Canis lupus familiaris: one gene and its partner. The protein of the gene in region 1 interacts with the protein of each later gene in a biochemical or structural test. Links are inferred from orthologs where the notes say so. Each region holds a gene or a part of one and is shown on either strand. Other genes may lie near its edges.

Evidence for each region.
Region 2: the proteins of CD6 (region 1) and ALCAM form a complex in vitro, tested with the Homo sapiens proteins (4 studies listed by BioGRID and IntAct). The link is inferred for Canis lupus familiaris from reciprocal best matches to the Homo sapiens genes CD6 and ALCAM.

The regions. Positions count from the first base shown.
Region 1 is NC_049239.1:55,906,870-55,910,687, reverse strand, and holds part of CD6 (T-cell differentiation antigen CD6), read left to right. Parts: intron 1-1,108; coding exon 1,109-1,231; intron 1,232-2,907; coding exon 2,908-3,027; intron 3,028-3,253; coding exon 3,254-3,508; intron 3,509-3,777; coding exon 3,778-3,818.
Region 2 is NC_049254.1:11,674,811-11,678,628, forward strand, and holds part of ALCAM (CD166 antigen precursor), read left to right. Parts: intron 1-155; coding exon 156-273; intron 274-3,818. UniProt on the Homo sapiens protein: Cell adhesion molecule that mediates both heterotypic cell-cell contacts via its interaction with CD6, as well as homotypic cell-cell contacts. Promotes T-cell activation and proliferation via its interactions with CD6.

The DNA of each region.
Region 1 (3,818 bases):
CATGTCTCGGTCTGGGCCTGAATGGCAGATGATCTTCCAGGGCAGTCATTCTGGGCTAGGCTTTGGGGTCCTAGAATAATGCAGACTCTGGGCATTTCTCAGAGGAAAGCTCCACCCTGCTACTTGGCTGGTAGGTTTGTGATACTGTGGCCTCTTTCAATGGCCTGCTCAGTCAGCCTTCCTGCACGGCCCCATCAAGATTTTCCTGGAACATCATTTTATTTGATATTAAATGTTTTTTTTAAATTTTTATTTATTTATGATAGTCACACACAGAGAGAGAGAGAGAGAGAGAGAGAGGCAGAGACACAGGCAGAGGGAGAAGCAGGCTCCAAGCACCGGGAGCCCGACGTGGGATTCGATCCCGGGTCTCCAGGATCGCGCCCTGGGCCAAAGGCAGGCGCTAAACCGCTGCACCACCCAGGGATCCCTATTTGATATTTTCTAAACGAAAGAAAAATTGGATCGGTCATCCATCTTTTATAACATACGGATTTATACTTCGTGAAAGTCTCTTAGGGAACTCAGGCTTAGTCACACTGCGCTGTGACTGTACTAAATCACCTTTATTTGAAAGCATTCGAGGACAAGAAAACCAATACCAAACCCAGCTGAATGGTAGAAATACTCCCTGTGCGAGGCCTCCATGTGTTTAAGGAAAGAACATGAACGCAGAACCTGGCACACAGGTGAAGCACAGAGCATTTGCTCACTGACTCTCGTAGTCTGAGGGTTAAGAGTCACACTGGCTGCTTCTCTGGGCCCAGTGAGGACCTCCCCGTGCCTTAGTTTCTTCAGCTGTAACGTGGGGACGCCGACGTACCCACCTCACCGAGTCCTTACGATGATCCGAATAAGATCATGTTTTAAGTGTCCCGCCCGGCCTGTAGCAATTGCTCTATGTTTTGGAAGTAAGCAAAGGAAATAAGCCAATGGGCGGGGGGAGCTTGGCAAACCCAGGCTGGACAGTCTGGTACGAGGCGGGCGACCTGGGAGACCTGGCGCTGTCCCTGCCCGTGTGTCTGGGCCCCGCCGGCTGCGCGCTCCTGCCGCTCCCTGCACCTCTCCGCCTGCCACTTGGCCCTGCCCGACTCTGCTCTCTCCCCAGTTCCCATGCTGCCCATCCAGGCGCAGGCCCCACCCCCCAAGGACCCGGACTCCAGCTCGGACTCAGACTATGAGCACTATGACTTCAGCACCCAGCCTCCCGTGGCCCTGACCACCTTTTACAGTGAGTGCCCGGGCCCGGGCTCCTGGGAGCCCCACCCCACCCCCAACCAGGGAGAGGATCCCGTTGGCTGGGGAGCTCCGCGGGGCCCACCAGGTCACCCTGCATGCTGTCCGTGGAGTGTCCCTTGACTCAAAGTGGCCCTACGCTGAAGCTCTCCAGGTGTTTCGTGACTCTAGAGGCCCCTCTGTGTCTTCGACCTCCTTCCCTCCTGCCTTTGTCCGGCCACACAGGGTCTTAGGACTTGTCCCTTGACACTCACCTCCAGGGTGGCCTTGTCTGTGTGAAGCAAGGAAGTCCAGGCAAGAGACACGTTCAGACGGCTTCTCACAGGCTCACGCCCCTTCTGTGCCCCCTCCTGCCCATCAACCTCACCCCTTCCCCCACCTTGCTGGGGAGCCCAGTTTAAACCCCCAGCTGACTTTTCCAGCTCTCCTCCCTGCCTGCTGGGGACTGGAGGAGGATAGACAGTGCTTAAGGCAGGGCCCAGGCAATGCTGGACATTAGAGCAAAGAATCCCACACCTATGGGGGACTCCCTTGGGAGCTCATCAAACATCCCCCAGCTTCCCTCCGGGACCCACCCTATGAGTTAGGATGAGAGTTTGTGTGTCACCGGCGCCCCCAAACAATGGCATCCTGAGAAGTTGGCAGGGACCAGCCTTCCTCTCTCTTGCTGCTGTGTAGTCCCTAAGATGTTGCGCTCATCAACATGGTCCAGAACGGCTCACTGCCATTTCCACCTCCTGGACAGCAGCAGGGGGAGGGAAGACGAGGCGGGCTCAGCACTGACAGGCAGGGCACCAAGGATGCCCCCTCACTGCCACGCTCAGCCTTGCCCACCACAGTCTAACTCCCCAGCTGCAGGAGAGGCCACAGACGAAGCTTCTATCCTGGGCAGCTGTGTGTCCAGATGAAGGCCAGAGGGTCTGCCCTTAGCGGGGTGGAGAATAGAGATTAGTAGGGACGCTGGTCGTCTGTGCCTCACCTGCTGGACCAGGGCCTCTGCGGAAGGAGGTGGCTGACTGTGCTTCTGCCTTGCCATGCACCAGCATTTGGGAGCCACCAGGGTGAGGCATCCTTGGAACCTGAGGTTCTGCTCTCAGGCATGCAAGATGCTAGATCGAGAGTCTAAAATCCCATGACACTGCGAGTGACGTTCTATATACCAGGTTTGAGAGCGCAGACTCCAAGGTCCCAGGTTCTCAAGTCCTTAAGATTCAACAGATCCATATCACGTCTCCAGTTCTCGAGCAAAAGTTCCCCAGAGCCTAGGAGGCAGGGATTCCAGACCTCCGGGCTTCCACTCTGCCCTGGCTGGGGCACCGTCTGCCCTCTTCCTGCCCACAGCCCCCAGGGCACAAGGAGACAGCCCAGGACTCTCCCTGTTTCCTTAAGCAGAAGGAGGGGTATCTGGGGCAAGGCACAAGGCACTAGGGTTTTGGGCAGAAGCAACCTCATCCCGTGCTGGTTAAAGACTGAGATTCAGGACTGGCTGGACTCGGATAAGAGCCCGGGAGCTGACGGAAGTGCTAACCCCTCTGTACTTCTGGGCTTGTCCTTCCACACTATTCAGCCCCAGGGCACCCCTGGAAGTGCCAAGGCACTGCAGCCCTTCCTGTAGGCTCCGGGGGCGAGGAGGTAGGTCTTCACCCCCCCTCACCACCACTCTGCTTGTAGATTCCCAGCGGCACCGCATCACAGACGAGGAGGTCCAGCAGAACCGGTTCCAGATGCCCCTCCTGGAAGAAGCTGAGGAGGTCCAGCAGAACCAGTTCCAGATGCTCCCCCCGGAGGAAGGTGAGTCAGGCTGGGGAGGTGCACGGAGGCAGTGATAACGATGTCAACCTTGACTCCGGACCTAGCAACTCAGCTCACCTTGAGAAATGCCAACAGCAGCCCCCCTCGATAGCTCCTTTCTGATTTTAACATTCCGCTTGGCCATTAGTTCTTTCTTGGGTCTAATTTGAAGCCCTCTTGCTGCATTGCTGCTTCTTTCCTCACCATTCTCCCTTTCCTGGGCCAGGACTTGAAGAGATGAACGTGTCCCAGGTCCCACCCATTGGTGCTGGACACTACATGGCAAACACCCCCTCCCTGGGCTCTCAACACCGCCCAAGGAGCAGCAGTGAATCCAGCACATCCTCTGGGGAGGATTACTGCAATAGCCCCAGCAGCAGGCTACCTCCGTGGACCCCCCAGGTGTTTTCTGCAGAGAGGAGCCCCCACCTGGAGCAGCCCCCGAACCTGGAGCTGGCTGGCTCCCAAGCTACTTTTTCAGGTGAGCTGGGCCCAGGAGGATCCCGTGTGTGCCCCAGTTCCCATCCTATAGCTGACCTGGCTGGAGGAAGCATAAAGCTGGAAGCCCTGAGCCAGGCTGAGCTCAGGATTCTAGCCCCAGCACAAGTCTCCACCCCTCTCCGGGCCCTCACCTCCTCATTCATGGTCAAGCCAGGAACTGGAGTCTTGTGAGTCATGAGGGCTTCCCAGCTCTGGCAGCTCTCGAGCTGGCTGTCTCCAGGCAGAGTGATTGGTTCTCGGGGTTTCCAGCAGGGCCCTTGGCTGATGACAGCTCCAGCACTTCATCCGGG
Region 2 (3,818 bases), on another chromosome or scaffold:
AAAAATTTTATCTTTTCAAAGCACAAGTTTGCATGTTACTTATAGTAGTCGTAAGCCTTAATTATTTTTAATAAGAAAAAATAACCAGATTGACTTTCTTTTCAGAAATCCTTGACAGTGTCTGTAATTGCCCGGACTTCTCTTCTCTGTTGTAGATGAAAACAGAGAAAAGGTGAATGACCAGGCAAAACTGATCGTGGGGATCGTCGTTGGTCTCCTCCTGGCTGCCCTAGTTGCTGGTGTTGTCTACTGGCTGTACATGAAGAAATCAAAGTAAGTTATGGAAAGAAGACCTCATTTGTTCACTGACTTCCCCTGGGAGAATTATTAAAACAGTTTGTCACTGTTCTGTAAGAGGAAAGGCGTGGCCCTCAAATCAGGGTGATCATCATGTTCTGCTTGCAGCTCACAGTGACTGCCTTGCCAGCATTGGAGAATTGCCTTGGGGTGTGATTTCACATGTGTCCCCTTATTTTTCTCAGTCAGTAGTCTAAATTCAATTATTTGATTTCTTTTTTTTTTTTTTCGGTGCCTAGGGGGACATTTTAAAAAGCTTATACTTCCAAAAGGTCAACCATTCTAAGCCATGTGACTAAGGTTGGTGGACATTAATTAAAAGTGGTTAGTAAATCCTGTGGGAGTGGCCGGGTGCCTGCAGTAACAGGTCTGGCCAGCAGTGAAACAGTTGGCGAGGTGGTATTATCTTGTCACTTCTCTGTTCTCGTTAAGTCACTTTAGTCCATAAAAGGATTTTATTCAGAGGGGAAAATAACCCTCGTTCTTTTTTCTGCAATTCAAAAAGGAAATAATTAGACAAAGTACGAAGACTGCTTTAAAAATTATTTAGATGGTGTTTAGATTAAAAATTATTAGTCATAAATAATACAGATAGATCCAACTTTATAATATCTAATAGTGGTTTATAATGAAAATCTAATTAACCAAAGGAGATTCTTAACATACACACATTTTTAATATTCCTCATCACCCCAGCCTTGACTGCAGATTTGAGTGGGCACCTAGCATTTGCATTTTTAAAGTTTTGTTAGTGATTCTGTGGTATACCATTGGTTTCAAACATGAGGAAATTGATTTTTGCAAGGGGATGGATATAGCTAGTGGCAACTCTGGGCTTAATTTTATATTTTCTTGATGTCCGGTATCACCCCCTTTCAGCAACTCAGGTAGGTTAACTTAAAAGAAAATCAAAAGGAAAAGCAGCCTGAATAAGACCCATGATCCTACCTTGTAAAGAAAGCCGTTTTAGTGAAGAAAGTAATATTCAAAAGGAGCTGCCATCAAAGGGAGGCAATAGCTCAGAAATTTTTAAGGTCACATAGTATGAGCTTGCATTGAGTTCTGTTTTGATCCTGCCATCATCTCTGAAGTAGATACCGTTATTACTCATATTCTACATTTGAAAGAATTAAGGCAGAGGATGGTTAAATGACTTGCTTGAGGTTACACAGTTCATAGGGGCCAAAGTTGTATTTGATTTCAGGCAGTGCTGTTTCAGCATCTTTGTGCTTAATCACTAGTTCTTATTTTCTCTCACCATGCCTTCCTTTTTCTCTGTTTTTCGGTCATGCAAGGCAGAAACGTCTTCCTAATATGTGTTGTAGTTGATGAATTTGTCCACTCTCACATCGGGGCACAGTCACTTCTGATCTTGACACCTCACTACTCAATCTTGAGCGGCCCCCACCGTCACTTGGTGACAAATGTGTTCCTTTTTGCAGTGACCTTTTTACCTACCAACACTTCATGTGGGTTTGTGTCCATGGTTCCTGTGGAAACTTTAGAAGATTGCCTGTACCATGTGCATGAAAGGAAATGCAAACAGTTGCCCAGAGGCAGTATCTTATTAAAATTCTCCTTCTATGTGTATAAGTTTCTTGCTGGTCAAAATCTTATTCTCTCCTTATAATCTGCTCTACAGTACTCACAAATTAACATCTTGGGCTCTGGGGTATTTCCATCTTATTTACTTAGGATTTCTGATGCATTCCAATATAGTTTTATTTCTTAAAAGAATAAAAAAATGAAATTTCTCTGTATCCTGGAATTGAGCTGAAAAATAAACAGCAGTTCTCTACATTATGGCCAAATAAGCATTAAATTTTTGGAACATCCTCAACATTCTTAATCATCCTATTCTAATGGCCAAGATCACATTAGACCCCATTTATCCTTCTCTGTATAAAAAAGGAAATTATGTGTGTGGGATTTTGTTGTTTCTTCATTGGTTATTATCACATGATGACCCAAAATTAAAATCATGGATAAATAAATGCTGGACACTTGGCTTCATGGTGTCTTTAGGTTAAGGGTTAAGACTTCATGGATTTCCATTAAAGTACCTCATTAAATTAAGCACGGATTTTACCATCTGCCTTGACCATTTGTCGAAATAATTGTTATTTAATTGAAAAGCATATCAATTTTGCCAGAGTTAATATTATTTATAATATCAAGGTAATAAATTAGAATTCTCATCCTAAGCATCAAAGTGCTTTTATGAAAAATTTGTGAAACTCTTAAGATTTGCCATGTTTTCTGCCTTCCTGATAGGTCACTCCTTGCTAGTGCCCTCTGAGATAAGCCAGCATTTTTGCAATATGAGTTGTTGTTAATCCCTGTGTCCAGAGTAAGTGCACTTTTGTAGTAAGAGCTTTCAAGTTAAGAATTGCTAAGGCCATTTTGCGGTCTAGTATGTTCTTTTTCTTCTTTTCTACATAATAACTTCACCTTTATGAATCAATACGAGGATTTCATTACTATCTTTAGCTCTTTCATCACCATTTTACATGAGTAGAAGACATTTTTTAATAAAGATATAGAGCTTTTCCCTAGATATATACCCCTTTGTTTACCATCTTGAAAAATAATACCATTAACGATCTCGTGAGTCACCATTATGACAAACACTTTGAACAAAAGGTATGAGCTAAACATTTTATCTAAAAACCTCAGTGATACAACTCACAGAGCAGGGGAGTTTTAAACAACATTCAGGGGAAGTTCTCTGCATTGGCATTTTAAAAAGTCAGTGGAGAGAGAGGAGAGAAATAATCTTTTATGCCCAAGGAGAACTTAAAGAGTACATTTGTAACAGTCCTAGTGATACTTAGCAAATATTCATAACCCATTCCATTAGTGTGAGCTACATATTTTTATATCTATTTCAAATGTGGAGAGCTACAGCAAGAAATGCTTAGTAGTTGTACTTGGCATTGTGTTCTGGTATATTCATTGGAGAGTTAGGACTCAGGATTCCTCTGCTGCTTTGAATCATATAAATTCTCACTGGAAGCTGTTTCTCTAAATCGGCTGTTTTTTGTTAATGAAAATGAATGACTGATCATTTCCTGTGTATGTAGGGTATTTACTCACAGTTCTAGGCAAAAAGCATTAATTGACTAAGCCTACTTCATGTCTAGTTATTTAATAGATAGGAGAAAAAAAAATAAAAATAAAAAATAAAAAATAAAAAAAAATAGATAGGAGAACATTAAAGAATGAGGACTGATTCAATTACTATTTTTTATTATGTTCTCGATTTCTCTCTATCCTGTCCCCTGAACATTGTTTTTAGCTATGCAGGAAGTTACCGGCTACTATTTGAGTTCCAAATCCTCTCATATACCTTGTAGTGCAATAACTAATGAAAAATTAAGAGAACCAAAGATAAAGGAAAAATATAAAGGCAACATGATGTAGCCACTAACTTATTCAGACATTTGTTAAAACCATAATTTCCAGGTTGGTTGCATCTAAGAGACCCTTGACCACCCTACTTCTTACCACTAAACTGGAAG